Linked DNA regions of Diceros bicornis minor. The protein of the gene in region 4 binds, or shares a complex with, the protein of the main gene of each other region. Links are inferred from orthologs where the notes say so. Each region holds a gene or a part of one and is shown on either strand. Other genes may lie near its edges. The genes, in order: POLR3C, POLR3G, POLR3K and CRCP.

Region 1 (7,172 bases), on a different chromosome or scaffold from region 4:
TTAACTATACTGACCTTCTTTTACTTCCTAAAATATCCTATATTTTTCTCACTATATACTCTTGCCTTTGCCAAAAATGTTTATCCTCTGTACTCCTTCATACTTTACCTCACTGGTTGGCTCCTACTTCTGCTTCAAATCTTAACTCAAATGCCACTTTCTCAAAGAAGCATGTGCCCGAAATCCCCAGATAAAGCTGGTCCCGTTATATATTTTCATAATACCTCACAGTTTTCCTTCATAGTACTTATCAAAGTTTGTTAGTTATATATCTATCTGGTTTATTTGATTAATCTAAGTCTCCTATACTAGACTTAAGTACCATAAGGGTAGAGACTATGAGTTTTTTTTATCATTTTACACCACAGTACCTGGCACAGAATAAATCCTTGGTAACTGCCCAATTGATTGATTCATTCATTTAACAATCATTGATGAAGAATCAACAATTAGGGCAAGTCACGGTCCAGGGGTCAAAATTCCTTACCTATCAAGCTCAGTTTAGGAACCAGGTACATGTCCTTTTCACTGATGACAAGAGTGGGGGCAGGTGGTGGTGGCCCAGAGTCTGAATTCTCAGTGGCAGGCACCAAGGGACAACGCTGCACGAAGTGTGTGTCTGCTAGTCGCACAAATGTGTTTGACACCTCAGCATAGTCCATGGTCTTGCCATCTGTACAACAGGAGGAAAAAGGCAGGTGAGATGGCCTAAGACAGCTGAGGGTCTACTCCTGCAGCCAGCCAATCTATGCTTTTGCTAACAGCAGTGGATACAGTACTGACCCTCCATGGTCTCTGTGAGCCGGTCTGCCACTTTCTTCACAACAGCTGACATTGTCATTTTGCCATTCAACAGCAGCTCCTCAACAATTAGCTCCCCAGTGTCACTGTATAGTGTTTTAGCAGTATAGATGTACCGGGGATACCGAAGCATTCGCAACACCCGGCTGCATTGGGCTTCATACTCCACCACACCACGTTTGTGCACTTGATATATCACCAGGTTATGTTGGATGAGGACACAAAGAGCTTTTTTGACCTAGATAGGACCCAAAAGAAAGAGGGAAAAGATCTGAAGCCACCGCTCATTATTGCAGGCAATTTTGTCCAACAGTTTACTCAGCACCAGGAGATGGCTAGATAAGAATCTCTGTGCTTCTTCCCTCCCTCCATTGAAAGAGCTAATAAGAATCACATGTCCATAGAAGAAATCAGGAAGATTCCTCGCTACGATGCTCATGTTTCCTCTGATCTTCATCTTCCAAAGTACAATGTACTTTCCCTTTATTATTCTCATTCCTTAAAAGTAGTACTGAGATTAACAGACTCATTATGAATAAATGAGGTATGGCATAGGAAGAGCAAAGATTTGCCTAAGAAGCCATGATGAACCAGGAAGTTTGAGAAGCAGAACCTTGGGGCCTACATCTCATCCTCTTTCCCCGCAAATAACACTGTTCTGATCCCAGGGCAGGCTTTCTCCCTCTTCCATTTTGTGGGGTGGGAAGTAACAATATTCAAAGGTAGATAAAAGAAATTAATGAAAGCAAATTAATGTCATCCAAACATACCTGATCCAGTGATGTTCCTGTGTCATGGGCAATTACTCTTAGTGGCTGGCTGCCAGTTCTGATTAGGTGGACTCCAATTTTTTCTACAATCTCTCCAAAATGCTCTTGCAGCAACAAAGAACACAGTTTAATTTCTGCTTGAGTCATTGTACTGAGGAGTCTGAGAGCTGGAAACAAAAAGGACTGTATGATGGAAAGTTTTTTTTTATGTTGGGAGTAGAGCTACTGAGTGTAAATTCATGTACTTTCTCAAGGGCAATTTGACATTACAGATCAAAAGCCTTAAAATCTTGGATAACTTCGACCTAATAATTTTGTTTTGAATACATCGTTCCAAACAAATAATAAAAAGATGTCACTGTAGTTCTCTTTAGAATTCTGATATACTGGAAACAACCTAATGTCTAGCAATAAGGGATTAATTCAATCCATTATGGGATACTCATATGATGGAATACTATGCCAACATTTAAAATGAAATATAGTATGTATTAGCATAGAAAATTGTTCACTAAGGAAGCAGGTTACAAAGCAAAATGTCGAGGAAAATTCAATTATTGTGAAAAAAGAAAAGAAAAACATGTACGTATAGAAAAAAGCCTGGAAGACTATACATCAAATTTATCTTTATGGAATTATGTGTGATTTTAATTTTTTTCCTCTATTTTTTTTTAAAGGTTGGGTGTAGATGGATCTGCTATCTGTCACAGACTTTAGATTCTATACTTCATTGTTTGGAAGAATTAAGGCCACTGTTCACAGCCCATTGGGAGTGAACAGGCAGTGTCATTCCCAGTCCATAAAGGACATGACAACATAGAAAAAGAAATTAAGAGGTAAAGGAGAGCTTCTCAACAGGGTGTTTCAAATAGGAGATGAAGTATGTTGTTTGCAGGGCAGTATTTAATTTTGAAATTTCTACTCCTTGACAAAGTAGACACAAACAGACGTAGTTGGCTATATAATTACTTCCTTATCATCCCAAGTGCTACCAAACATTGGTTTGTTCATTTGTTTCTCTCAATTCCTCAGAAGCCAAGTCTTTGCCTCTCAGCCTCAGTAGGCCAACCACATGCCTTTGGGGAAGCATCCCTAGACCCTCTGCCGTCCTCGAAAAGGATTTTCAAGGAGCTTGACTCCTGGCTCTTCACTCCCTTCACGCAGGTTCCCGTTCTGGACTTGGTCCCTTGGTTCAGACAGCAGTTTCCACTAACCTCTGGGTCAATGCAATCTAACGCCGCCGATTCCCCACGGCCGGCGGTTTCATGTGGCTCCTGCTAGCCGCCGGGGCAGAGGGGGAGCCCACGGCCCTTTCTTGCAGGAGAATCGACACCGAGGAGGACGGGGAAAAGGGAAAAACGTGTGCCGCTCTACCCTCAGAGTTTCGGTGGTTTCCGGGGACACTCTTTCTTTCTTCTCGCTGGAAGGCTGGAGGACCGGCGAGGAGCTGTTTGAGGAGCCGGCGGGCGGGCGCAGCGGGCGGACTCTCCTTCCTGCGCCTCTTTGGTGCTGGGAGGCGGGCCTCGGGGTCGCAGTCGACGCCGTCGCCTCTCTGGGCTCGGCAGACTCACGTGACCGAGGCGGGCTCTGGAGCGGCCGGCCGCACTGAGGAAGCGGCGGCGGCGGCAGAGGCGGCGACCGCAGCCGGGTGGTAGTGGCTTGGCGAGGGACGGGCCGCTGCCCTCTCGGACAGCCGCGGCGGAAGAGAAAAATGGCGGAGGCTTCGGCGGCCGGGGCGGGCGCAGGCGCCGCTGTCGCCGCGCACCGGTTTTTCTGCCACTTTTGCAAGGGCGAGGTCAGCCCCAAACTACCGGTAAGAGCCCCGTGTCCTCTGCGCTCGGCATCGGCGTGAGTTCCTCGGCCCGATGTCCACAGGGTCTTAAGATCCCCGCACTCCCCTGATTCCCCTGACATCGGTCTGTCCAATACCTGCTGCTCACGGTCTCCCGTCGCTGGCCCCCAACCCTGGGCGTCCCGGCCCTGGCTCCATAACTCCCGTCCGGCCTTTTTTCCCCCTCGGATGCTTGACCTGCCCTTCACTCCCTCTCCCCTCGTTACCTGCCCCCCCCATCTTTCTGTCTTTCTTAGCTAGTTCTCCTCTGACAACTCTCCCCTCAGTTTTCTTGCACTCTTCTTCACCTTGTCTTCTCACTATGACCTCTCTTTCTCCTACTCGATACTCTTTCCGCTGTTGCTTCTCACCTTCCTCTTTGCTTTTCTACTTCACCAGATCCTCCCCCTCCCCCATCCTCAGTGAAGCAAAATAGCGGATTGATGAGGATTGTCCCTGTTCGGTTGTCTCTAGTGAAGGAAGGAAGGAAGGAAGCACGAAAGAGAGAGGGTTGGAAGGTAACTGTGGGGCAGAGAGGGGGATTTTGCTCTTCACTGGTTTCCAGGGTTCTTGTGAAAGTGAAAACAGCCGTGTGTAATGACTTGCAGACTGCCTGCCTCCCTATCACTATTGAAGGAAATGGCTTTAGGAAGAAGGCAGGACATATTGTTTCAACTTGGTTATTTTTGTTGTCCTGCTGCCAGTGTCTTTGGCACCACCTCCCTTACCCGCCCCCCTGCGCCGCTTTGTCTCTTCATTTAATAGAAAGATCCAGGACGGAATGCTGGGGACTGCATCCTCTGACATAAAATTGGTTTTCACCAGTTTCTGCCAGACTGTTAGCACCTAGAGGGGTAGTGCTATGGTTGTGAAGAAAGCGCTTCTGCAGGATGCTAGCCAGCTACAGCACCCCAAACCCAGGCCCTGTTTTGGGTCGGGTTGTAACTACTGCAGGGAGACCCACTGGGGTGAATGGTAATCCTACCTTTGGCCACCCATCTTTAGAATTAGTTATGGTTGTTTTTTTCCTTAGAAGTAATCAGGTTCAGTCTTGACAGGGTGGCTTCATAACAACTTACCTCTAGACTTATAGTGTCTCAGGTACAGTATGAGAAAGTCTACTAAAGTGTGTCTGTATGTCTTATTTCTTAGAAACACAAAGAGTCTTGTGAATAAGTGCCTGAAGAATATTGTAGCCTCTTCACCTAAAAGTTGTGCTTTTTCAGGCTTTTATAGTATTTTCTTTTCTTTCTGTTTGCCCTACCGCCAACTTCAAAGTCATAGTTTCATCTACAGGCTAGTTTTGCTTGCTGATTTGGCGGTGTGTGTATGTGCTTTTTGCCATGTTTCAGTGCTGGGAAGAGCAGGTGCTTTGTTTTTTTCCAGTGGACATCCGAGCCTCCAGAACTCTCTTACCACAGAAAGGGAGTCTGGAATTGAGCTAGTGTGTGTGTGACCAGTGACATGTTGTTGAATGTGATGCCTTGTTGAACATTGTATCCGTAGCTCTACTGATCTTTAAGTCGCTGTTCACTATTTGCCTTAAAGAGTGAGAAAACAGTCTAACTTTCCACAACTTATTATATCTTTTCTTTTTACCATCTCAAGTCCTCACTTCAGAGTGCTCTTGAACAGTGATAATTTGAAAGACTTTTTGGATGTTTTTCTAAGCCTTAGTTTGATGCCCGGAGGAGAGGCTATTGATGTTTTTACTCTGATTTATTATCTGTAATGTCTGATTTGTAAACTAAGGCCTAACACAATTAAATGTAATTGAATATTTACACATACATACAAGGTTCTGTACTGGATATTCTGAAGGCAATAACTGAGGAATATGTGGTTCCTGCCCTTAAGGAGCTCACAATTTTGTTGGAAAGACAAGACAATCATGGAAAAAGTAACAGTGTAAGGTGAGTGAGGATGGGTAATATGTGCTTTCAAATTCAGAGAGAGGGGGATATGGTAACATTGGTGAGGTGAGGGAAAGAGTGAGAGATGGGATTTAAATTGAGTTCTACAGGATAGGCAGAATTCAGATTGAGGAGGATAGCATAGACTGAGGTAGAAAAGGAAGAGTGAGTTGAGGAAGAAGGGAGAAATATTTAGTAAATCATTGTTGTTATGCATTTTTAGGAAAAGGTGCAATGAGGTCAGGGGTTTAGTTTTGATTTGTAGATGACCCAGTGAGTTGCATCTTGTTTCATGGCCATTTGTATATCCTTAACCCCAGACTGTCATCTTGAAAATGTTGGTTGTAAGAATGACCAGGTCAGTAAGTGGCTGGTTCAGTACAAATCTGTCTCTGCTACTGAAAAACCAACTCAAACACTGGTAAGTCAGTAGTATGATTTTCATATATATAGGAGAACATTGAAAAGTTTTTTGAAAATAATTTTTTATATAAACTTAAGGTTCCCTCACTGTAAGTACTCAGTATACATTAGGCATGCATTGTTTCTTCAACTGGACAAATGTTATGGGAAAGCTGGATGTCTTTCTGAGGATAGCTAGACTCAGCTTATTGTGAATGAAGTTTTTCTTTGTTTTGTCTTAATGGATCACAAGAACCATCATCCACGAGCGCTGTCCTCCCTGAACACGTGAGGCTGCGTATGGAGTTTTACATCAGCTTTCAATGAGCTATTACTCGGTAGGTTTCTTCACTCAATCAGTGGGAACGACTGCTTCAGAGCCGTCTTATCTCTTGCCAATTTAGTCACCACATAGCAGAGTCATAATTGTGTTCAGTGGGACCAGGTTGCAAGGTTTTTACCACTCTTACTTTTTCTCCGTTTCCCAATCGCTAGGATACAGCACTTCTTGATACATTTGGAAGTGTGCACAGGCAATAACAATAGTTTACCCAATGTTCAGCCCTGAAACTGCTCTTAGGTTTTTGTTTATCATTTATCTTGTCAGTCCTACTACTCTGAAAGATTCACAGACCCAGTTAACTTTCGTGTCTGAATTAGAAGAAATAGTTTTGGCTATAATTTCTGAGAGAGATTGAAATATGCCTTATGCTGTTAAGTTAAGCCACATTCGTTTGAATTAATTTGGTGAAATAACACTCCTTATTGCTAATCCTGATTTATCCATCTTAGCTTTGTGTGTCTTTGGTATGAATCCTCCCAGATAAGAGAAAAACGTTTCATTTAGAAAGACGATATTAAGAAATGAGGGAAAACCGTGAATGGAATTTTAAAATGAAAATATAGTATTCAGTGGTACTGTTATCTGTTAGGCATCAAAAAAGAGTCTCCATTCTAGAAGTGAATATTGATTTAGAAATTTCTTTCTCTTATTGGGAGTGTTTTGTTATTTACAGTGAAATTAATTTTAGTAAAATTTAGTGAGTACTAAACTTGAATTTTAAAATAAGAGATTTTGATTATATGGTCTGAAACCCCAGAGTTTCAAGTTTATATATGATTAGGTAAAATGGCATTGTGTATTTTTTGGTCATCAAATGATAGAAGAAATACTTAAGTAACTTAAAATTATTTTCATAACACAGCAGAAGCTTTTGCCTCACCTGGCTATACTGTTGAGAGACACTGTGAAGTCAAGACTGACACAGTTACTGTGCTCCATTGATGAATGACTGGGCAGTACCACAGAGGGCTGTGTTATGGAATGTAAAGATGTCATTCTGTCCTCTTTTACATCAAGGCCAGGGAATATTACCTTATGAGATGGAGTCTGATAGAATCATCATTAAGCAGGTGAGATAAATCATATGCAGAGTAAACTACTTTTGGTATTGA
Region 2 (7,338 bases), on a different chromosome or scaffold from region 4:
TAGAAGAGGAAAGTGAGGCCCTAAGAGGTTAGCTGACTACCTGAAGACACGCAGTTAATTGCTAACAACGAGTGGACTGGGGTAAAGCCTCAGGATATCTTTCTCCATTGTCCTTTCTCCATTACGCTGCCTGAAATACATTTCTAGGCTAGTTGAATAGTTTTTTAATCCCGTGGATGTGTTTAATCTTTACAGTGAAGTGAATTAGTAATGGCAAAATTGACTGGTTTTAAAAATGTAAAATCAGAAGCATCATCTTTCCATTTTGGGATGCCTCCTGAAAATTCCTATTCAGAATTGTTTTGAGATGGCTTGATGAGTGTAGTTCAACCATCCATGAGCTGAAATGCAAAAGCCCATTCTAATCAACTATAAAAACAACCCCGTGGCAAAGGCTGAGCTAACCTCTGAAACTTCTCCTAGTTCTAACCTTTTATGAATTATGATTGTGCTTAAATGTATTTTTCTCCACATCTCACACAGTCTTTTGCACATATTAGCTAGGTGAATAAATGTACAAACAGACGTAAGCAGGCAAGGAAACTAGAGGACGCACTGAAAGCCAGGTCACAGTATCTTTCCTAATGAATGACACCTAAGTTGCCCCAATAAGAACCTGGTAGTCATGCTGACCTCCTCTCCATCTCCCTCAATCCCCTCATCTAACAGCAGAAGACTATCAGCTCTGTGTCCTCTCTCACATGTTCACCTTCCTTCACCTCTGCTTCAGTTCAGGCCTTCACCATCTCTCGCCTAGAATTCTAATACAGAACAAATAAATTTCCCACGGCCAGACTCCCCCTTTCAAGCCACTCTCCGGTCATCTTTCTAGAACACAAACCTTGATGTGCCACTCTCCTTAACTGGCAGAGCTTTCAAGTCTAACTTTCTGCCTCTCGCCCCATGTATCCCACACTCTAGCCACTCTCAAGTCTGCTACACCAGCTCATGCCTATAGCGTTACTTCTGCCTGGGGTGCCTTCCACCTGAGCATCCCCAGCATTATTTAAGATACTATGCAAATGACACTTGTCTGTGACCATTTCCTCCAGCTTACATGGAGGTAGGCCTCTCCCTTCTCGTTGTTTCCCTAGTACTACATTGCTTTTATTACCCTTTTTAAAATCATGTTGTAATTGTCAGTTCTTGTCTGTCTGCCCAGTAAGCTCCTCAATTATCCACTCATCAAGTATTTATGAAGCATCCTCTGTGTCAGACCATCTTTCACACATTGGGAATATAGCAGTGAACAAAACAAGTCTCTGCTCTCATGGAGCTCATAGTCTAGTATGGGAAATGGAAAATATAAATATATTTTATAGAAAGTGTCAGGTAGTGATCAGTGATATAAAGAAAAAACAGGAAACATGGATGCTATTATGGAAAGGATGGTTGAAGAAGTCCTCCCGTATTCTGTAGTATTTGAGCACAAACCTGACAAAAGTGAAAGAAAGAGCCATGCCAAGGACTAGGAAGATATCCAGGGGAAAGTCTGATCCAAGCAGAGGGATTTGTAAGTGTGAGGCCTCCTTGAAGACTTACTCCCCTTTTCCTGCCCCATCACTCAGCAGAGCTTGGCAAAAGTCCAGTGAATACCCGATGAATTATTGCTGAGCTCATGGCCTACTGACGATATCACTCCATTTCACCTCCAGTGGATCCCCTTTGCCTAGACGAAAGATACCCAAACTACAGTGAGCTCTGTGCTTCCCTGAGAACGTCCTGAGGACAGCTCAAATGCCACACCCCAACAATCCCTGCCCTCTGTATTTTTATAGCACCTAGTTTTGACTTCCTCTGCGGTACAGATCCCATATTGCTTTATATTGCAAATATCTGTGTACAGATATTATCTTCCCTTAATTCTTGAGAACCCAGATCATGACTTTTTTTGGGCACAATTCTGTTCTTCACAGATCACCTAGCTCAGGGACTTGCACATAACGATAGCCCTGAACAGTGACTGGATAACTTCTAACTAGACGAGGAAACTATTCAGAACCGCTGCATCCCTACCGAAGGCTTTGGGGGTGGGGGGAGAGTACACTTCTCTTTCTAGGAAGGCTTTCTAGCAGCTGCCACAGTAAAGGTTTTCCTAATTATCTTCTATAATGCTGTCTCATGGGTGTTTTATAATTTTTCCTGGCTGAGTAGGGAGGTTAGTTAAGTCTTCAAGGGAATTTTTGACACCTAAATAGATGTTTCAATAGCTGGGAAGGGTGGGGTGGGGCGGGGACAGGGACATGGTGTTAATAGTGGGGGTGATTTATGTCGCGGGGGGGGGGGGGGCACACCCAGTCAGTATCCACTTTTCCTGTCCTCACAAGGTGCGGCTGCCTCCACCTTTCCTTAGTTGAGCCTTTCTACCAACTTTCTTTGCTCTCTTCCAAGAGCGGACAAAGTAACCGAAAAAATGGAGGATGGGGGGAGAAATACAGAATTTCATTATGTAGAAGAGAAGAAAATCCTTATTAACAACCCCTCTCCCACGATACAGGGTAAAGTGCCAACAGTTAAGAAAACATACTGAATAGTCTGTCCTTAGCTGCAAGTCTGCGGCAATGACTCGTGCCTGAACCAACCCTAGTCATCGGATTTGAAAATCTACCATCGGTAAGAGCACAAATGCCCTTCTCACTCACTGCAAACAGTCCCAAGAAGTGGAGACTAGGTAAGATCTGGAAACGACGACTTTAAAAGATTTTGAAGGGACTAGGAAAAGGGGAGGTAAAGCTATGTCCCAACGCCTCTCAATCCAGAAGCGCTTTAATGAATCTTCATCCCCGACTTCCCCCACCTTCTCCATGTGCCTCTTTAATTACCCTCTACCCTCTCCATCTCCTCCCAGGCCCTCAATCGCTTGCTCTGTTACCTGCTCACTAAGTCTCGAGGCTTGGGCAACACTGCACAGCCGAAGCGCCGGCCGGCAAAGAACGGGTGCGGACCGAGGACGCCGGCTCTCGGGTGCTGCTGGTTCCACCTCTGGAGAAGCGTGCTCCGCCCTCCACGCGGCCTCAGAGCCGCGTTCGCATCCCGACTAGTTAGCCCCGCCCACCCCCCAGCGAGGCCCCGCCCGCTGGGCCAAGAGCTTTTTAGCCCTCGGCAGGCACCGTAGTCTTCCAACCGGCTGGACCAGACTCTTTCCGCGCCGGCTGAAAGTGCGCATCGCGGCGCGTGGTTGGTGGGCGGGCCTGCAGCCTCCCACGCCTCGTTCCTGGCCTCTGCAGTCAGGCCCCCGAGGTGGGGACCGTGTCGCCTTCTGTGTCTCCAGTCTGCTGCAGTGGCCCCTGCGTGAACGCTCCCTCCTGCTGCGGCTCCAGAGGCTGCGATTGCTCCAGCGCCCGGGGCGGGCTGAGCACCTCTGTTTTCTGCAGACCAGGCGGGAGGGTGCGGTGGCCGCTCCGGGCAGCGTCTGCGCGCGTCCTTCCTCCTCCTGGTTCTCCCTCGCCCCTCCCGCATCCCCCGCCCCCTCCTGGCTCCGCGCCTCCTCCCAGGCTGCGGGCAGACCGCTCCACACCGCCGCAGCGCCTCGGGTCTGGACAGCCTGCGAGGGGCACACACGCCCACACCCACTCCGCCCGGCTGCACCCCTGCCCAGCATGTCGGCGCTCGAGTGGTACGCCCACAAGTCTCTGGGCGACGGCATCTTCTGGATTCAGGAACGCTTCTATGAGTCGGGCAACCGCGCCAACATCTGGCTGGTGCGCGGCTCCGAGCAGGACGTGGTGATCGACACGGGCCTGGGGCTGCGCAGCCTCCCCGAGTACCTGTACTCCTCCGGCCTCTTGCAGGACCGCGGGGCCAAGGAGGACGCGGCGTGCCGGCCGCTGCTGGCTGTGGCCACCCACGTGCACTTCGACCACTCCGGCGGCCTCTACCAGTTCGACCGGGTGGCGGTGCACCACGCCGAGGCCGAGGCGCTGGCTCGCGGGGACAACTTTGAGACCGTGACCTGGCTGTCCGACAGTGAGGTGGTGCGGGCGCCCAGCCCCGGCTGGAGGGCCAGGCAGTTCCGAGTACAGGCGGTGCAGCCCACCCTCATCCTGCAGGATGGTAATGGGCCCTCACGGGCGCGCGCTCTCACATTAGTGGAGGGGATTGGGGCGAAACTGGCCGAGGGATGCATGCTGCAGACGTGCGTGGCTGTAAGGGGCTTGTTTTGTCACCTCGCAGGAACACCACTTCTTTTTCTCCCTTTCCTGCGTAAAAGCCCCCTCCACGGGAGCCAAGGCTATCGCAGCCTTCCCTTCCAGAGACCAGCTCTGGCACAGTGTAGCAATGCCGCGTGCTCGAATGAAAGCCGGCCCCACCCCCTGGTCAGTTTCTTGTGTAAGGTACAGTAGTAACACTACAGAGACTTGTGACTAGGGATTTCCCATTCTTTTCCCGAACACTTGTCTGACGTTTCCAGGCGGTTTTCTAGCGAGCAGACTTTTAAGGAATGACGCCTCCCGGAGAGTGCTTGTCATGCTCTGTGCTTTTGAGAACTGCTGACTTCATCCGCCTTGGTCAGCGGTCACCGCCGGGAAGGAGCAATTCCCACCTGTAGGCTTAGAAAGCCTTTAGAGAGCAGTGGTTCCAATCTGCTCGTGCATCCTTATCTTCCAGATAGGTTTCTGTGCTTGACGTTGCCTCACGAGAGAGCAAGCTTGATAGTGAACATGAAAAGTAGAATATGGCTGAGTCTTAACATGATGAGATACCTGGTCTGGTTGAAAGCAAGGCCTGAGAAAGATTAATAAGGAGGTTATTTCCGGTGATGGGTGAAGTATGTGGACTAAAGCATGGGCCTCTTTGGCTCTGTGAAAGACAGGATGGGGATCAGAGAGAAGTTATTGGAATAAAATAAAATAGAGTAAGGCCCCAACTCCCCCAACCTTCCCAACCCCAAATAGGTGCTTAAATAATTGAGCTGATTAGCCACAGCAGCAATATATGTGTATTAATTTCCTTTTTTTCTTTTTAGAATACTTTTGTTGATTTCATTTTATCCTCACAACACATTTGAAGTGACGTGGCTGACCCCCAATTAAATCGCTTGCCTAGAGTCCACAGAGCAAGATAGTGACAAAAGCTAGGGTTTGAACCAAGGCACAATAGATCAAAGTATGCAGATCATACCCCATAAATCCTACCCCATAAATATATTATGGTAATTCTGAGTAGGATGCGAAACCCCCTTCTTTCCTTTCTATCTTGAAACCATTTTAATTGCCACTTTAATTTATTAAAACGTTCCTCTAAAAGGTAGAAAAATCCAGTTGCTGCGGTACAATAAGGCTCACTTTATGACCAACCAATATGACAAATTATGAAATATTTTACAAAAATCAGTTTATCTTACAGATGAGATCTTGATCACTTGAGATATAAAAATACAAAGCAAGATTCTGTACTTCACACCCCACCCAAAAAGTCTTTTCATTAAAATTTTAAATCTAAAGATTAGGAAAAAAATGAGTTTAGATGGGAGTCTTACATTACCTGATAATTTGAGGTAAAAATTACTGTATTTGTTGATAAAATTGATACTTTTAGAGATAGGATTTCCATGCAGTTGATGGGTATTCAGACTAAATTAATTCTGGCACCCAGACCAAAAAATGTTTACATTAGTATTTAAAATATATTTAAATTTTCTAAACGAATAAATTACTTTTGATTTATTTACTTTTGCTGCGCTGGTGGCAATAGGAAATCAATGGTGAAAGAATGATAGGAATTATTATTTTGTAGATGAAGAGTCCAGGCAGGCCCGAATATCATATCTGAGGGCACGTAGCCAGTTTGGGAAAGAGCTGGGACTAGAACCCAGGTTTCCTAAATCCCAGTTGTTGGTAGAATTACAGCATTTTGTTGCTGCAAGGGGCCTGCTAGCTCCCTGTGTGGTGCTTTAAGCCTTTGAAGGTGTGAAAAGAAAGCTTAATATTTACCAAACACTTTGAAGGTGATAGTACTGTGTTAAATCAAAAGTTGTTTTTCATTAGGAGCTAGATGCCTCACCTGTCAAGTTGTATCTAATTTCCTATTTTCTCAGGAATATTAATTTCCTGTCTCTTCTCAATGGTGTGGCCTGCTAACTTGTTATTCTCATAATTCAGATGCCTGGAAAGAGATAAAAAATATTTGTATTAAGAATTCATACACAGTTACACACACATGAGCAGCGCATACCCAAACAACATAAAGTCTTCATTGCTTTGGTTAGAACATAAGGAGGCTGAAGTCATTAGTTTATATTGCATTTCATTTAGTGAATTGATGATCACCTGTCATGGAGAAGCATAAATCTATGCACTGTATCACTAACCTAAAAGCTGATTTGTAAATGAGGGACAAAGAAGACAGGGAGAGAGCATCATCTAGTGCATCATCCTTGATGGAAAAACAACTCACCCTACTAATGGTGAAGTAGTATCTTCCTATAAGAAGACAGCAATAAACCATAGCGTGATCTAGCACATTCTTCTTGAACAGGCACACATCATTTTGCCTATTTTTCACAACACTCAAGTGATATAAAGTGCAGGCATTTTGGCCCTTATTATACATGTTTAAACAATTTGCCCAGAGTCACAAAGATATTAGAGCAGTTTTTTCAGATCGACTTGAATAATTGGAGAAGGTTAAAAACAAAAAGGAGATTCCAGAAAGGTAGCACATTGAACAGACACATCTAATTTGACTCCTGCCCAAAACCCCGCTAAGAGTGCTGTACAGGGACCGTGGTTTGTCTCTGTTTTAAGTATAAATCCACATTGACTGAGGAACTGTTTCAGATGCTGGAGAGTAAATGTGATGACTGAGTTAGCAGTTTTACCCTATGCCAGCAATGGGAAATCAAGAGCCAGTCCAGTTTGCATTGCAGGGACCTTCCTGCAGGCTCAGGAATTGGCAGTAGCTGGTACCTTAGGGGCAAAGGAAAGAATACTAAAATAAGTAGAGTTGATTGAAAGCCATTTAAGACGCTGTTAAAACGCCAGAACCCTTCTTCCTAAGTGAATGCCCACCCAGTTAGTTTGTTCTCTGGGGAGAGTAAAACAGAGGGGTTTCTTGTTTGAGGGATGCTAAGTACTATTGAGCTCAGGGGTTCAGTATGGAAAATAGGAGGAATAATATATATATGTATGCCTACTAGTTTCCCAGAAGGATGAGAGCCAGGCCTTTAGTAGGAAATTGGTAGGAAATTGGAAGAATCTTATCTGGGAAATCTGCCTAGCCCCAGAGGAAAGACTAAGATGCTGATCCTTGAGTAATCCTTGGCTTGATCTCTCTACAGTGAAGCCTAGGTCACTAGGTCGCATGCACGAGCTTCAAGCAGCCTTTTCATCCCCCACT
Region 3 (7,555 bases), about 28 Mb from region 4:
TGAGCTCATTTCCTGCCTGGCAGACGGGCTGCATCTCCTGACATCCTGGCCAGCCATCCTGAAAGGGGTAGCTTTCCCCCACACCAGCAAAGACCCTCAGGACACGCAGTTCACACTCTTGGATAGGAATCCACCCTGCAACAGGGTAAGCAGACACTGATGCAGCTGGACCAGTTTGGCCCTAGTCCCTCCAGCGGTGTCCACACTGAGCATTGCAGCACTTGTAGAAGGTGGTCATTGGCTCGTCTGCAGAGCGGGTCTGAAGCTGCATGAAATAGGCACGAGGATGCTCACATTTGGGACATGGCTCTGGCAACGAGAAAAGCAAACAATTGACCCACATTAAAAAAAAAAAAAAAGGATGCTTGTGACCAACAGATCTATTAGAAGCAGGTGTTACTTGAAAGGGGGCAAAGACCCCGCCCCCTTGCTCATCTGGCATCCCTTGCCCAGGATACCTTGTACCAAAATTTAAGGCCACAAACAGTGGTATCCTTCTCACTATGCTCTCACACTGAGAGAATAGAGGAGAACTGTGACCTTGAAAACACTCCTCCTACCCTCCCTGGGGCCCACTTTTCTTCTCAAATCTGATTGAAGACTGGTTAGAAACATAACACGAAAGGTGACTTATGGCGCGATATGCATTACAGTATCCATGCCCTGCAGATGCCCCTAATAAGTGCATCTCCTTCACCTGGGCAATGCACACGCCCTCTTGTCTTCTCAGAGGAGCTCCCGACAGATGACCAATCCGCTTCCCCTTGTATTTAGGAATCCATTCTGGCAGGAGTTTCTCAGACTGTTCTTATCAAGATCCCTCCACACATCCACACCTTTTCAGAGTGCCCCAAGGCACACCTTTACTTTCAAAGTGATTTCACTTTGAGAACCTGACCCTGCTCTTGAGGTAAACAACTTCAAACAGTCTCAAACAACATTTTCAATATTAGGTACATAATTCATCTTTTAATGACAAATTCTGCCAAACCTAAATTTTTAACATAGCAGATTTGGATATTCTTCTATGAGGGAAAAAGACAGCATTAATCACGAGTTAGCTCTTCTCCTCTCAGTACAAGTTGTATCTAGGGCTCTCCTCTTCCTTCCTTGGTCACATCTGTCTCTAACAGAAACGAATCAAGACTTGAGATAAACACTTATTTTACTGAGACTGCAGTTTAACGTTCCCTGGTATTAACTCTTTAAAAATCTATGCTAGAACAAAAAAACCAAATTTCTTCCTTAGACTCTGATTTTTACTACTCCTGTCATTGTTGCTATCATCATAGTTACCACCTGTTGAGTACCCGTTATATGCCAAACACTGTATTAACTCACTTTATGCTCTTATAATCTGTGAGTATAGATTAGCCCCAGAGAAGTCAAGGGACACCCATCGAGGTCACCCCAAGGCTCTAACTCAGGCCTGCATGACTCAAGGCTTGTGCCAAGACTGTGTGTGTAACCAATAAATTATTAAAAAAGAAAACAAACACACTTTTTATTTTTAGAAGCCCACTTCATCTAAGTATATCACGGATCCTGACGTGGAGTGGCACAGTCAGCAGCCTCATATTTAAAAAAAGCTCAGTAACAGAAAAATTTTCCCTCTCACCTGCAGTAGAGTCGACATTCTCCCAGGCAGCTGCTCCACCAAGCACATCATCCACTTCCTTCAGCTTCGGGTACTTCCGACTTGTTACCTAACAAACAGCCTCTGAGTGAGTGAACAGCACAAACCTGGGACACCAAACTATATCGACCTCAAGTGTCTCCCCACACTTCCTTCCTTCAGCACAGACTGGAGCGATACTGAACGAAAACAAAGTTCCTGCTATCACAGAGCAGGACGCTCCACTGGAATTTAGAGGATCCACGATTGGGATGATCCCAAGAGAAGAGACAGTCAGAGAAGATCTCTGCCAGGGCTGGATGAAGCACCAGAGCAGGAAGAAAACATTGGCTTAGGTGTGACCCTCCTCCTCCCCCACACCTCTAAGATACTTGATAACCCCAGATGAGAGAGACAAATACAACTGAAGTCAAAGAGCACCACTTGGCCGGGTGGCCCAGCGCCCCCCGAGGCAGAGAGCTTTCAGAGCAGGTCACACTTGGCTTCTTGCCCAAGTTTTCCCCGACATCCTTGAAATTTCAGGGTTACATAAGAGTTCACTCTTGCCATATTTTCAAACTCTAAACTTCCACCTCGCAGCTGACCCATGGAGTGGTATGCAAACATTAAGAATGAGGTATCACCAACGTGCTCTACTTCTAAAAAGGTGTACTGTCAAGTGAAAATAACAAGCATAAATAATACACTGTGCTTCATTCGTCCTGAACATTCTAGGTCCCATTCTATTGTTCAGACTAAAACATGAGGAAACGAGACAGAAAAATCCTGCCTTCCTACCGTTTATGTCCCAGTATTAATAAACAACGCCCATAAATATAAACTATATTACAACGCAATGACGCCTATGGCAAAAACAAAACAGGGAAGGAGGATAAAATACGGAGAGAGATTGCAATTTTAAGTAATCATTTAACTAAAGACACGGGGAAGGGTGAACGGGGCAGAAAACACGCGCAAAGGCCCTGACGGCGGTGCCCGTGCACGAGGGGGATCCTCCGTGCGGCGCTGGGGGTCAAGAGGACGCATTAGGACGCGAAATCAGAGGAGCAGGCTGGGGGTCCCGGGAGAACCTCAGCTTTCCCCCCGGCGCGCTGGGCACCCGCCGCGGGTCTCGGAGCACAGGACGGCCCTGATCCGACTCACGGTCACAAGGTCACTGCGGCCGTTGCCGCGGACACAGCGCGGGGAGCCCGGGGGAGGTCCCGACGGTACCCCGGGGCGAGCAGGGAGGACGCAGGGGACGCCGGCGGGCGCACCTTGCGGGTGACGTTGTGCACGTAGGGGCAGGTATTGCAGGCGAAGCGGTGACAGCGCTGCCCCTCCTCCACGATCAGCCCGTTCCCGCAACCCGGGCAGAAGAGCAGCATGGCGGCTGCCCAGCCGCCGGCTCCCAGCAGACGCCCGCGCCGCGCCCCGCCGACGCAGGCCCGCCTCGAGCTCTCATTGGTCCTGGCGGCCGCCCCGCCCCTCGGCCCGCCAATGGACGCGCCGATTTCGCGCTCCCAGCGAGCACTGCGGCAGGCCGCCTGGTCCCTGGACGCTGCGGGCTGGGCTGTGGTTGCGGTCCCCGCGCGCGCCCCTCCGTCGCGCTGACCCGCGGTGCGGGCGGGTGCGGCGGCGGCGGGGCGCCCTGGAGGAGGAGGTGGCGGCGGCGGGGCCGGAGGAAGATGAGGACGAAGAGGAGGCGCTGCCGCACTCCGAGGCGGTGGACGTGTTCCAGGAGGGTCTTGCCATGGTGGTGCAGGACCCGCTGCTCTGCGACCTCCCGATCCAGGTGCGCGCGGGCCGGGGGGCGGGCGGCGGGGCGTGGACAGCCCCCCGACGTGCCGCTGGGGCTGCGGCGCGGAGGCCTCAGGAAGGCGCCTCTGGGCGTCAGCGGGGGGTCTTAACCCGGGCCGGGCCCAGGGTGGGGCGAGCGAGAATTCAGAGGGGCGCCAAAAACCCGGTATACATGGGGTCAGGTGACGGGATGTTTTACTACGACATTTTTAAAACTCAAAGGTAGTGTAGGAAAGCCGATGGTAAACAAAGTAATAAAATTGTAAATGAAAACCAGACCAGTATTACTGGTTTCTCTTCTCAAGTTTCAATATGGTTTGGCACCGTCCTGCGTTTAAGTCTTTGTCACTTTGCCCATCATGGGGTTTTTAAGTTAACTTCTATTTCCTTGAAAGTTGCACTGAAATGTTTATCGTTACCATGTTTTTGGCGCCCCGGTAAATTCTGCACACCTGCCTCAGCCTTGTCCCGAGGCCCTGGCCTGGATCCTGGCGATCCAGGGCTCTCATACTGGACTGTCCAGCCTCTGGGTAGAGGATCCCGGGGTGGATCCTCACGTTGGTTCGTTCCCCTGGTCTGTGTCTATGCTGCGTCCTCCCGAGCCTCTGTCCACTTTAGGCATTAAACAGAAAGTGTGGATGGAACATGAGAGTGGAGTGACAAGTGGGGAAACGTGTAAGAACCTTGTCCCTTTCTTGTATTTGTAAAGCGTGGCCCCACTTTTTGGACACTGTCAGCTTGTTTTTCTTGGTTGTTGTTCGGGGCGGTAGAGAGCCAGGGCTCCCCCATCCACCCTTGGTCTTTTCCAGGTTACTCTGGAAGAGGTCAGTTCCCAGATAGCACTGGAGTACGGCCAAGCAATGACAGTCCGAGTGTGCAAGATGGACGGAGAAGTCATGCGTAAGTGCCGCCCCCTCCCTCCGGGCAGCGCCGTCTGAGCTTCACAGGGGCAAGAGGTTAGCAGGGCTGCTCAGTGGGAAACGCAAGGGCCATGCCCGGGGGGTGTTGGAGCAGCCGCAAGCCCACCCTGCCCGGATTTCAGCCTTAGTCGGGCCTCTGAGTCCTCTCCTGTCATCTGAGGCTGTAGCTGTGTTCCCACTGTGGATCTTTTCCCGTTTGTGTCCCCCGGTTGCAGCCGTGGTTGTCGTACAGAACGCCACGGTGCTGGATCTGAAGAAGGCCATCCAGAGATACGTGCAGCTCAGGCAGGAGCGTGAAGGAGGCATTCAGCACATCAGCTGGTGAGTGGAGCAGCGGGTCCCTGCAGCCCTCCTGGGGGCTGATGTGGGCCTCCACATGCACACCTGCCGGATGTGCGCTCTTAACCACCTGGCTCTACTACAGTGTACCAACTGGAGCGATGGGCTCCCCCCGAGCCGTTGGGCGGGTGGGTGCTCCTGGGCCTGGGAGTCCTGCCTCAGATGCTCCTCATCCATATCACACTGCACAGGCAGCTGGGTGGGTCTTCACTTGGGGACACCTGGGGCGTTTCCAGTGTGTTTGGAAGTGGTCTCCCTAGCTGTGGATGGTGCAGCTGTCAGCAGCCCCACCCCTCCTCACCTGGGTGCTGTCAGTCCTCCCGTTTCATTAGCAGAATGTTTGGCTGCCAGGCACCCCACACAGCGTTTTGAGAGCAGTGCCCCCTTGTGGCTGCCCTGGTCCCTACAGAGCCGAGCGCCTGGAGGCTTTCTCACACACAGCTTTGGCCTCCCAGCTGTCCAGCTCACCCTGCTCACGGCTTACCTGAGTCCCCATCTTGCAGGTCCTACGTGTGGAGGACGTACCATCTGATCTCTGCAGGAGAGAAGCTCACAGAGGACAGGAAGAAGCTCCGAGAGTGAGTTCAGGCCACATCCTGAGCTGCAGGGAGGCATCTGGACTGTTGCCTGTAGTTCCACATGCTCGGCCAGAAGCCTGGGCCCCTCAGGAAGGAGGGATCATAAATCAGTCCCTGGGGAGTGTGTGAGACAAGGAGAGTCCCTGGCTGGACTGACACCCTCCTGCAGGGAGCTTCCGGGGCCTCCCTGCCAGCAGAAGGAGAGGGAGAGCAGGGGTGAGGGGCCTCGGCTTCTCACAGTGGCGGTTCAGGGCTGCAGAGCCAGCAGGAGGGAGATAAGGGTGTCCATGGAGTTGAAAGGCTGCCCGCTGGTACAGTGTGGGTCTGTGGAAGGACAGCCACTACCACCTCCTTGCCTTCCTGGATGCCACATGCTTCCCACCTCTTCTTTCTTGGTCCCTCACAGGCTTCAGGGGAGGGGTCACAAACGTCCCCTCTGTGGATCAGACAGCTGACAGCTTTTCTTCTCTTTCAGTTATGGTATCCGGAATCGGGATGAGGTGTCCTTCATCAAAAAGCTGAGGCAAAAGTGAACCTCCAGACAAGGACGACTCTGTGTGCTGGTGGCTGAGCTCTTCCCCAGCAGGAAGAAGTCTGGAGCCACTGTCCCTTTCTCACAGAAGAGTGTCGAAGTGGCCTCACCCCAGCTGCCCAACTGGAACTGTCAGCATGAACCCTGGGCTCTCGGGACTAGGACCGGGTGAGCCAGTGCTCATGGCCTGAGCTTGACCTCCCTGGGCCGAAACACCCTGACCACGTGGCCAATCCCACAGGGCTGTGGGCCTGGCCCTGTGTACAGAATAAATCTGTTTGTTTCTTAGTTTAAAAAGTCCAAAAGCCACAGTACCTGGGGCAGGAGGAACTGGCACTGCCCCATCACAGAGGGGAGCCAGGGCGGAGAACGGTGGTGGCGAGGCCCGAGCTCTCAGATGCCACACCCCACACCACACGACCCTGCTCCTGCATTGGGACAGCAAGAGGAAGTAGCAGAGTGGGGGCTTTCTGACGCTGCTTGTGGGGAAACAGGCCCGCGGCCAAGAGCACAGCTGTGGAGGGCCCCCCCCCGCCCGGCCTCGTGCAGGGCTCACCTGCAGCAGGGCTGTCACTGGCTCCTGGAAAGGGAGGCAGCCTGGGACTGCAGTGGGAGCTGCTGGCCGGGCAGGGAGGGTTGGGGTGGGGGCACTTCTCGGTGTGTGGGGAAATTGCATCCACGGGGCCCTGTCCCATTGTCGCCTGCCAGTTACTTTGAGGAAGCGGCACAAGGGGGGTTCCCCTGGCTGAGGGACTTTATGGGGAGGTGTATTTGACACTTAGTGCCCTGTTCTGGGGAACTGTGAGTGGGATCTCCCTCCATAACCCCCAGCCGGAAACTAGAAAGGAGGAGGCAGCTCTTGGTCACGTTAGTGGCAGCTAAAACGCTCCCGGTCCATTTATTGGCCACATGGGGTGGTCGTCAAGAGACTAGTTAGCAGGTAACCAGGGGAAGTAGTGTAATAAATGCCCAGAAGTGCGCGAGGTTCAACAGCAGTGACCAAGGCACAGAGAGCTGTGTCCAGGAACAGGCCCCCACGATGCGCAGGCGGAGGCCCACGACCTGTGAGGCTCCAGCCTGCTGGAGCACGTGGCCCCAGTGCCCCAGCCAGCTCAGTGGAGCTGAGCGTCCAGCTCGTACTTCTCACAGAACTTGTCAGTGAAGGGGATGCAGGTGAGGAACTCACACCACTCGCAGCGGACGGGGTAGAAATAGAAGAGGACCACCAGGCCAGCCAGGAGGCCCAGGAAAACCAGCTGGAAGACGATGATCTGGCAGCGCTTGCGGTACAGGTCAAACCTGCCGAAGCTGATGTAGGGCAGGAAGGCAAAGGAGAGGAAGAGGCCACTGACGAAGCCGGAGATGTGTGCAAAGTTGTCGATCCAGGGCAGCAGCCCGAAGGCGAAGAGGAAGAGCACCACGGCCAACAGCTTGAAGAAGGCGCGCCAGGGCCGGGCCAGGATCTGCCAGCTCTGGAAGAGCTCCACGAAGAGGCAGGCCAGGATGCCGAACTGCGAGCCGGCTGGGCCCACCTGGGGGCAGTGGGCATCTGTGAGCTGGTGGGGCTGAGCAGGCCCCTTCAGACCCAGAACCTTGTCCCCGTCCCAGTTCTCGTGGCCCAGAGACATCAGGACTGAGGAGCCCAATGGAGAGGCTCCTAGGCTGGGCAGTAGGTGCATACGGGGCTCCCCACCCTGGGGGCAGCTTTACCTCTGCCCGGTACGGCAGGAAGATGGCACTGGCCAGGTTACCGGTGACGCCACTCAGCAGG
Region 4 (7,944 bases):
TTAACTCACACCAGAGAAGATGGACTACAAAGTCAGCAGTGGAGATGGTGAAAAGTAACTACATTCAAAATATATTCTGAAGGTGGAGATGACAGGACTGGCTGATGGACTGGATCTAGGCGTGAGGAAAGAGGGCTAGATTTTTGGTATAAACAACTGGATGGATGATGAGAGAAAAGGGCTAGAAATATACTTTTGAGAATCATCAGCAGATAGATGGGTAAAATGACCAAGGGAGAGAGTGTGGAGAGAAAGGGTCCCAGGACCAAGCCCTAAGATGCCACGAGATTTAGAAGCCAAGCAAGAGAGGAAGGAGGAGCCAGGACAGGAGACTGAAAAGTAGTCTTTGATGTAGGAGGAAATCCAGGAGAGCATGTCACAAAGCCAAGAGTCTCTAGAGCTTCTGTATCAATTGCTGCTAAGAGATCAAGAAAGTTGAGGCCAGCCATAAAAAAAGACAAAATCGTCCCATTTGCAACAACACAGATGGACCTTGAGCGTACTATGTTAACTGAAATAAACCACACAGAGAAAGACAAAAATCACATGATTTCACTCATATGTGGAAGATAAATAAACACATGGATAAAGAGAAGAGATCAGTGGTTACCAAAGGGGAAGGGAGTGAGGGTGGAGGGGTGGGCGAAAGGAGTAAAGGGGCATATATGTATGATGACAGATAAAAACTAGACTATTGGTGGTGAGCACGATGCAGTCTATAAAGAAACTGATATATAATAATGTACACCTGAAATTACACAATGTTATAAACCAATATGACCTGAATAAAATAAAAATTAAATAAAAATTACAAAAAAAAAACATTTTCATAGCAAAAAACCATTTTTACCTATAGTCATTGTTGTAGGTATGGTAGGATACAAGTGGCAAATTTGGAAATTCAAAAAAATCACAAACCATAAGATCTTTAGGCTTGTCTTTTTGAACTTTTATTTTAGTTCCACTGTTGAGACTCTATCACCCCATGCCATAAGAAAGCAGACAATATGCTATGGAATCTTGAGCTTCCAATACCCCATTGCTTGATACAATGACTTTGAGGTCCTTGGATAAAATGTGATATATGCAAATTCAATATGTTGCTGTTACTACTGCAGGAGTATAAGTAATAAAAGACTGTTATTAGTACTTAACGAGTGTTCACCTACGAATGTTCCTGAACTGATGGATTCCAAGAAAGAAACTTAGGTTTTACTGAATTGTTCCTTTGAAGGAAGTCAAAATTTATATTTAATGCACTTTATAATCAATGGTGTCTAAATGCCTCCGTCAGTGCCTAACTGCATACACAAAAATTAAACCTTCTTTCTATAATCTACCATAATAAATACTGATGGTATTTCTGTTATTTAAACACGTCTTTAGTTTTCTTGTTCATTTTCTGCTCTGGTTTCCAGCCAGTGTTCTATGTAAAGACATATTAAGTTACAGGAAAATGTAATCTCAAAATATTGTTTTTTAACCAACTTGCAGTGGTACTAAAAGCATTATATTTAAGTCAGTAAACAATGGAATATAATTTTTGAAATTAGAAGGTATTCTCTTAAAGTTTATTATAATCAATAAAACAACCAATCAATCAACAACAACAAAAGAAAGTTGGTGCCAGAAAATCAACTTTTGGATTTGACAAGATGCAGGATTCAGGCGATCCTCACAAGCCCGATTTCTGCAGACTGGTGAGGATGAAAGCCCAACAGAACGACTGGGAGAATCAGAGGATAAACAACACTTCTAAGAAGTTTTCTTGTGATGGAAAGCAGAAATGGAGCAATAGGCAGGCATGAATGCGGGAACAAGGGATTTTTTAAGATGGATAACTAAAGCAGGTTTGAATGCTGACAGGAAATGCTCTAGTAAAGAGGGAAAAATTGATAATGATGGCTTGGGCTAGAGTAATACAAACAAATGTTTTTCAAGTTGCAGATTAAACCCCATTAGTGGATTGCAAAATCAATTTAGTGGGTCAACATTCACCTTTAATAAAAGAGGAAAGACAATATCAGAGTGTACTGCCTACAGCAAAGGTAAGTGTTTTTTCATGAAGCTTTCATTTCAATTACATATATATACTGTGTTCTTAAAAAGTATGAAAAAACAGTACACATAACCATTAAAACACGAGGCAAAAGAACATAAAGCAAAATGTGAGTATTAAATAATCAGTGCCAAAGAGAACACAAAATAGGTATGCCTACAAGTCCATGTCAACCACGTAAAAACCCACATGCAGAGCAGCTGCAAAAACTTCCACTGGCACGCGGTACAATGAGCAAATATGGAACAGACGATGTGGAGTTAAATTGTTAGAACGGCTTTTACTCCCTCTACACACGCGTACACACCGCGCTGTTTCTGCGGTCCCAGTCCTGGCTCAAGCCTTCTCCCCACAAAACCCGCCCCTCCCCTCGCAGGGCTCGCTGCTGCTCATCAAACTCAGATACCACCCCTTCTGAGTCAGGGCTCCCCGGGAGCCCACTGCCCCGGGTAAAGCTTCTCCGTCTCTCCTCCAGATACTTCCAGGGTGGACTCGGCCTTTATACCTTCTAAGTCCCCCCCTCGGCTACCGGCCTGGGCTCCCCACTGTGACCCCGAAAACGCTAATCAATGAATGAAGGAGGGAGCAAGCACAATGAAAGGCAGCCGGGCCTAGCAGCACTCGGCCCATGTCCCAAGCACAGGGGGTGTAATGGAGCCGAAGGTTCAGAGGGGCAGAGCGAGAGTCCCTTTCTTCCCCGCCGCCCCGACCCACAGATCCTTCCAGACTGGGCCGGCGCCCTCCCCTCACGCCCCTAGGAGGGATCGCCCCAAGCCCACGTCTCTGGCTCCCAGGGGTTCTAGCCGTCCCCAGCTGTAAGCGTCAGACAAAGCTGGGAACGCGCCCCGGTCTGCTTACACTTCCATGTCGAGCCCGTCTCGTCGCCTCCAACCGCCAGCAGGGAACGAGCCCCACACCGCACCGCCACCTCTCAGCGCCGAGCTCCCAGTCGCCGGCTTCGCGCGCCGCGCTGCACGCCGGGAGCCTGGCGCGGGGACCGCCGCGGTGCACGCCGGGATCGCCGCGCGGCACGCCGGGAGCCTGGCGCGGGGGTCCCTCCGCGCTACCCGGCTCTGCTCGTGGGCTGGCGTCTGTGCCCTTCGCCCAGCCGGGCCTCAGACTGTTAGGCGTTTGCAGACAGAATTTATTTCATGTGTCGTTGATTTCGTATATTAGGGTATTAATAAATGAAGCTTCCAAAGACGTAATCTGGTTAGCAGACCTTTGCAGCGTTAAAATCCCGGCCCTGAGAGAGAAGTGACGGAGGAGGTGGGGTGGAGTGGAGGCGGCTCTAGGCTGCTGGAAATGTTCTATTTCATGATCTGGGTGTTGGGTACGCGGGTATGTTCAGTTTCTGAAAATTCAGTGAGCTGTACACTTAATGTGTACCTTTCTGTATGTATGTTATAATTGAATAAAATGTTTTAAAAGGTGAGAAAAAATCTCAGCCTCCCTTCTCTCTGTTCCCACTCTTTCTTGAGAGCTATTTGGCAAAAAAAGGATAAAAAGCCTGAACGACAAGCACACGGTCTCTGACCTTCCGGCCTTTTGGGACTTTACCCAAAGGGAATTGTCACATGGTTGAAGAACGACGCATGTGTAATGACGTTGTTCCTCAGAGAGCGCCTAAATGCAGAAGAATGGGGAATTGATAAATCATGTTTCAGCCGTACCGTATAATATTCAGCCGTGAGAAATCAGGTAGCATATTTGGTATGCTGGGGAAATGCTCAAGATAGGATTTTTAAATGATAGAAAATGATGTGGTGTGACCCTAATAATCTAAGAAAAAATAATGCATAGGAAAAAAAAATACCTAAGGGTATGGAAGATAGAACCACCTAATCTACTACATTTTGTCTTTTCAAAACCATAGGGGTGGGAGGTTGATGCCTATTATCTTCTGGACTTTTTGGTATGTTTGAAATATTTCTTTCTTATTTTTTTTTTTTTGTGAGGAAGATAGGCCCTGAGCTAACATCTGCCAATCCTCCTCTTTTTTTGCTGAGGAAGACTGGCCCTGGGCTAACATCCATGCCCATGTTCCTCTACTTTATATGGGACGCTGCTACAGCATGACTTGACAAGCCGTGTGTCGGTGAATGCCAGGATCCCAACCAACGAACCCGGGCTGCCGTAGCGAAGTGCGCACATTTAACCGCTTGCACCACCTGGCCAGGCCCAGTTTGAAATATTTCTTAAAGCCTGGGGGAAAATATGCCAAAATATTAACAGTGGCAGATGTCTTTAGATGATGAATCAATTGCTAATTTTTTTCTGCTTTTTTATACTTTTGTGTTCTATTGGTTATCATTTACTAAACTCATTCTCTTTGCAAGGTCCTTGCTAAGCACTTTGTTATTCCATGGTATTGACAGTTAATGGTGCAGGCTTTGCAGTCAGACAGCCTGTGATCCTGTTTACCTCAATCACTTTCCTAGAGGCTGTTTGACCTTGGGAGACTACTTAACCTTTCCTAACCTCAATTCCTTAATCTGAAAATTATAAATCTGTTAGATAATCCTTATAAATGCCTGGCACATAGTAAGTGCTCAACAAATATTAATTACTGTGACAGTACATCCGTGTCACTCTATGAGATAGATTCCATTGTTATTCAAATTTTGCTATTGAGGAAACTGAGGCGGACTTGGAGAGATTATGATTTGCCCAAGGTCACTCATCTAGGAACTTGTGCAGTAGGGATTCAAACCCAGGCAATCTGAACAAATACAGGAGGTGTATTAAATTGTTGATAGTGACCGATAATTGGATAAAGAAAATGTGCCATGTTAATACAATGGAATACTATTTAGCAATAAAAAGGAATGGAGTACTGACACATGCTATAACATGGATGACCCTCAAAAACATGCTAAGTGAAAGAAGCCAGACACAAAAGACCATATATTGTATGATTGCATTTATATGAAATGTCCAAGAATACACAAACCTATAGAGACAAGCAGTACATTAGTGGTTGCTTAGGGCTGGGAGAGGAGCATGGGAGGTGATGGGAATTGACAACTAATGGATACCAAGTTTTCTTTTGGGGGAAACAAAAATGCCCTAAAATTAGATTGTGATAATGGTTGCACATCCCTGTGAATATGCTACAAAACATTGAATTGTACACTTTAAATGGGTGAATTGTATGGTATCTGAATTATATATCAATAAAGCTGTTAGAATTTTTTTAACTGGTGTTTGCCTGTGGGGATTGAATTGGAAGAGAAGGGGAATTTTTAACATTTAACTTCACACATTCAGAATTTTAAAAAGATTTTTCAATGCACATGTTGTTATTAAATTACAAAAATATTTTTTTAAAAACAATGAATTTACTTAAAAATCAACAAGTAAATAAAAAGCCACCCCAGACTCAAGGGCTTGATTCATATGGAGAGTCCCCTGTACCTCCCTGGAGGAGAGCGGGCCCCACGAAGCGCTGAAGATGCTCATCGTGTTAGTCACTCAGCAAACATGTAGTGATGGCCCATTCAGTGCCAATGATACAACTGTGAATAATACACGCCTTCTGCCCTGGCCAGCTCACAGCCTAGTTGGGGAACCAGCTCTGGATATCAATAACTACAATACACTGTGTTTAAACTTGATGGAGCAGGTGAGGGAATGACTAATGAGGTGGAGAGGCGTCCCAAAGCCAGGGGAGTTTGAGCTGGGTTGGGGGAGGAGCATGCAAAGTCAAGGCTTCAGGGATGGGCTTCCAAGGAAGAGAGGCTAGTGCGTTTCGGGGCCCCGCAATAAAATGGCTAAGCTGCGGGTTCTCCAAGGGAGGACACCCTAGGACTTTGGGGACCATATGCAGTCACCTAACCTATCCTGTAGGGGCAGCCGGGTAGTCAGGAGTGGGGCCCTCTCCCAAGGGAAGGCTGCCCAGAAGGAGCCTGCACAATGAGATATCCCGGCCAACAAAGCTGGGCCGGTCAATGGCTGAAACTCCTGTTGACCCGTCCCCACTCAGCGCCTGCCTGCAGCTTTCCTAACTTGAAGCTGCCAGTATTAGGGATGCCTGCCTGTTCTGCACTAGACTCTTCCTTAGTTATTTTGATGCACCAAGGTGGAAATTTCAGGGGAGAGAGGCCAGGCAAGGTTTTCACTCTTCTGAGGCAGATAAGTCCTGTACAGCACTCAGCTCTCAGCTGAAAATGGGTGTCATCCATTGTCTGAACAACTCTGGCCCCCCAAGCTGGTAATGAGGATGGACACAGAAGCTTTGCCTATGGTCAAGATTCTGAAGGAAACACTAGCAAAATAGAGTGGGGTTGTGATCCCTTCCTTACTATGCCAGGAGCAGGAATTGTACACTCTTGGTGACATCCAATCATGGGTTGTGTTCCTGGTGACACATAGGAATGAGGCAATCAAGTGTGGTGGTTACAGATGTGGGCTCTGTAGCCAGACAGGCTGAGTTAAATCCAGGCTCTATCACTCACTAGCTGTGTGGCCTTAAACAAGTTTCTTAACCTTTCTGTACGTTGGTTAACTCATCTGTAAAACAATAATACCAGTGTTCTCTACCTTACAGAGTTGTTGTGCTTAGAATACCACCTGGCAAGTGGGAAGCATGGGGGTGGGGGGGAATGTTAACTATTATCCTACATTTCCAAAGCAAGGAAATAAGATTTGAATGAAGAAAGCTTTAAGTATAAGATAATATGTGGATGTCATCTAGTTCTCCTCATTGCAGATATGCTGTCCATCTTCTTGGGAAAACCATGAAGCCCTTCATTACCTATCTTGTCTTGGAACAGTTGACATGTATTGAGTTAGAGGCTTCGAGTAATAGAAATTGTTACATGGCAGTGCAGAGCTGAGGAAGGGACGTGGGGGCGGGAACAAGTGGTCAGCCCTATAGGGGCATTTTCCTGGAGTCTCTGTGTATAGTACACAGAATAATGGCTCCCTAAAGATGTCCACACTCTAATGCCCCAGAACCTGTGGATATGTTACCATACATGGCCAAAGGGACTTTGCAGATGTGATTACGGTTATGGACCTTGAGATGGGGAAATTGTCCTAGATCATTTGGATGGACCCAATCTAATCACATGAGTCCCTGAAAGAGGAGATTCTTTCCCAGCTGATGTCAGAGTCAGAAGAAGATGTGACTATGGAAGAATGGTCAGAAAGATGTAATGTTGCTGGCTCTGAAGATGGAAGAGGGGAGGGCTGGCCCTGTGGCTTAGCGGTTAAGTGCCCGCACTCCACTACTGGCGGCCCGGGTTCGGATCCCCGGCGCGCACAGACGCACCATTTCTCCGGCCATGCTGAGGCCGCGTCCCACATACAGCAGCTAGAAGGATGTGCAACTATGACATATAACTATCTACTGGGGTTTTGGGGAAAAAAAGGAGGAGGATTGGCAATAGATATTAGTTCAGAGCTGGTCTTCCTCAGCAAAAAGAGGAGGATTAACATGGATGTTAGCTCAGGGCTGATCTTCCTCACAAAAAAAAAAAAAAAGATGGAAGAGGGGAGCCATGAGCCAAGGAATGTTGGCAGCCTCTAGAAACTGGAAAAGGCAAGGAAATAGATTCTCCACTGGAGCCTCCAGAAAGGACTACAGCCTTAATTTTAGCCCAGTAAGGCCTTCTAACCTACAGAATTGTGAGATAGTGAATCTGTGGGGTTGTGTGTGGTCATTTGTTACAGCAGCAATAGAAAACTAGTACACTCCCATACAAATCCTTTGTTCCGTGTAGACTGTCCTCCTGCTTATTCACTGTCCACAGTCAAGAAAGGCTGCTCTCCAGCTCTGCCCCCATCTTTTCTGCAGGAGGCTGAGTAGCCATCAAACGGCTCCTAGACAGATTCAAGTGTCTCAAGGCATTGTGTGCACACACATGCCTGAGCACACCCAG

Evidence for each region.
Region 1: CRCP (region 4) and POLR3C share a complex: the UniProt entries of both Homo sapiens proteins name them as parts of the RNA polymerase III complex. The link is inferred for Diceros bicornis minor from reciprocal best matches to the Homo sapiens genes CRCP and POLR3C.
Region 2: CRCP (region 4) and POLR3G share a complex: the UniProt entries of both Homo sapiens proteins name them as parts of the RNA polymerase III complex. The link is inferred for Diceros bicornis minor from reciprocal best matches to the Homo sapiens genes CRCP and POLR3G.
Region 3: CRCP (region 4) and POLR3K share a complex: the UniProt entries of both Homo sapiens proteins name them as parts of the RNA polymerase III complex. The link is inferred for Diceros bicornis minor from reciprocal best matches to the Homo sapiens genes CRCP and POLR3K.

The regions. Positions count from the first base shown.
Region 1 is NC_080743.1:53,360,006-53,367,177, reverse strand, and holds the start of POLR3C (DNA-directed RNA polymerase III subunit RPC3), read right to left. Parts: upstream 3,013-7,172; 5' UTR 2,786-3,012; intron 1,739-2,785; 5' UTR 1,719-1,738; coding exon 1,572-1,718; intron 1,040-1,571; coding exon 784-1,039; intron 674-783; coding exon 488-673; intron 1-487. Other genes in the region: E3 ubiquitin-protein ligase RNF115, read left to right, coding at 3,283-3,384. UniProt on the Homo sapiens protein: DNA-dependent RNA polymerase catalyzes the transcription of DNA into RNA using the four ribonucleoside triphosphates as substrates.
Region 2 is NC_080740.1:16,948,125-16,955,462, reverse strand, and holds the start of POLR3G (DNA-directed RNA polymerase III subunit RPC7), read right to left. Parts: upstream 3,012-7,338; 5' UTR 2,873-3,011; intron 1-2,872. Other genes in the region: acyl-coenzyme A thioesterase MBLAC2, read left to right, coding at 3,600-4,053. UniProt on the Homo sapiens protein: DNA-dependent RNA polymerase catalyzes the transcription of DNA into RNA using the four ribonucleoside triphosphates as substrates.
Region 3 is NC_080765.1:48,215,668-48,223,222, reverse strand, and holds the start of POLR3K (DNA-directed RNA polymerase III subunit RPC10), read right to left. Parts: upstream 3,019-7,555; 5' UTR 3,004-3,018; coding exon 2,893-3,003; intron 1,707-2,892; coding exon 1,619-1,706; intron 310-1,618; coding exon 182-309; 3' UTR 1-181. Other genes in the region: SNRNP25 (U11/U12 small nuclear ribonucleoprotein 25 kDa protein), read left to right, coding at 3,369-3,410, 4,225-4,315, 4,551-4,656, 5,178-5,252, 5,728-5,785; RHBDF1 (inactive rhomboid protein 1), read right to left, coding at 6,897-7,316, 7,495-7,555. UniProt on the Homo sapiens protein: Core component of RNA polymerase III (Pol III) which synthesizes small non-coding RNAs using the four ribonucleoside triphosphates as substrates. Can mediate Pol I proofreading of the nascent RNA transcript.
Region 4 is NC_080765.1:19,908,541-19,916,484, forward strand, and holds the start of CRCP (DNA-directed RNA polymerase III subunit RPC9), read right to left. Parts: upstream 3,019-7,944; 5' UTR 2,926-3,018; coding exon 2,918-2,925; intron 1-2,917. UniProt on the Homo sapiens protein: DNA-dependent RNA polymerase catalyzes the transcription of DNA into RNA using the four ribonucleoside triphosphates as substrates.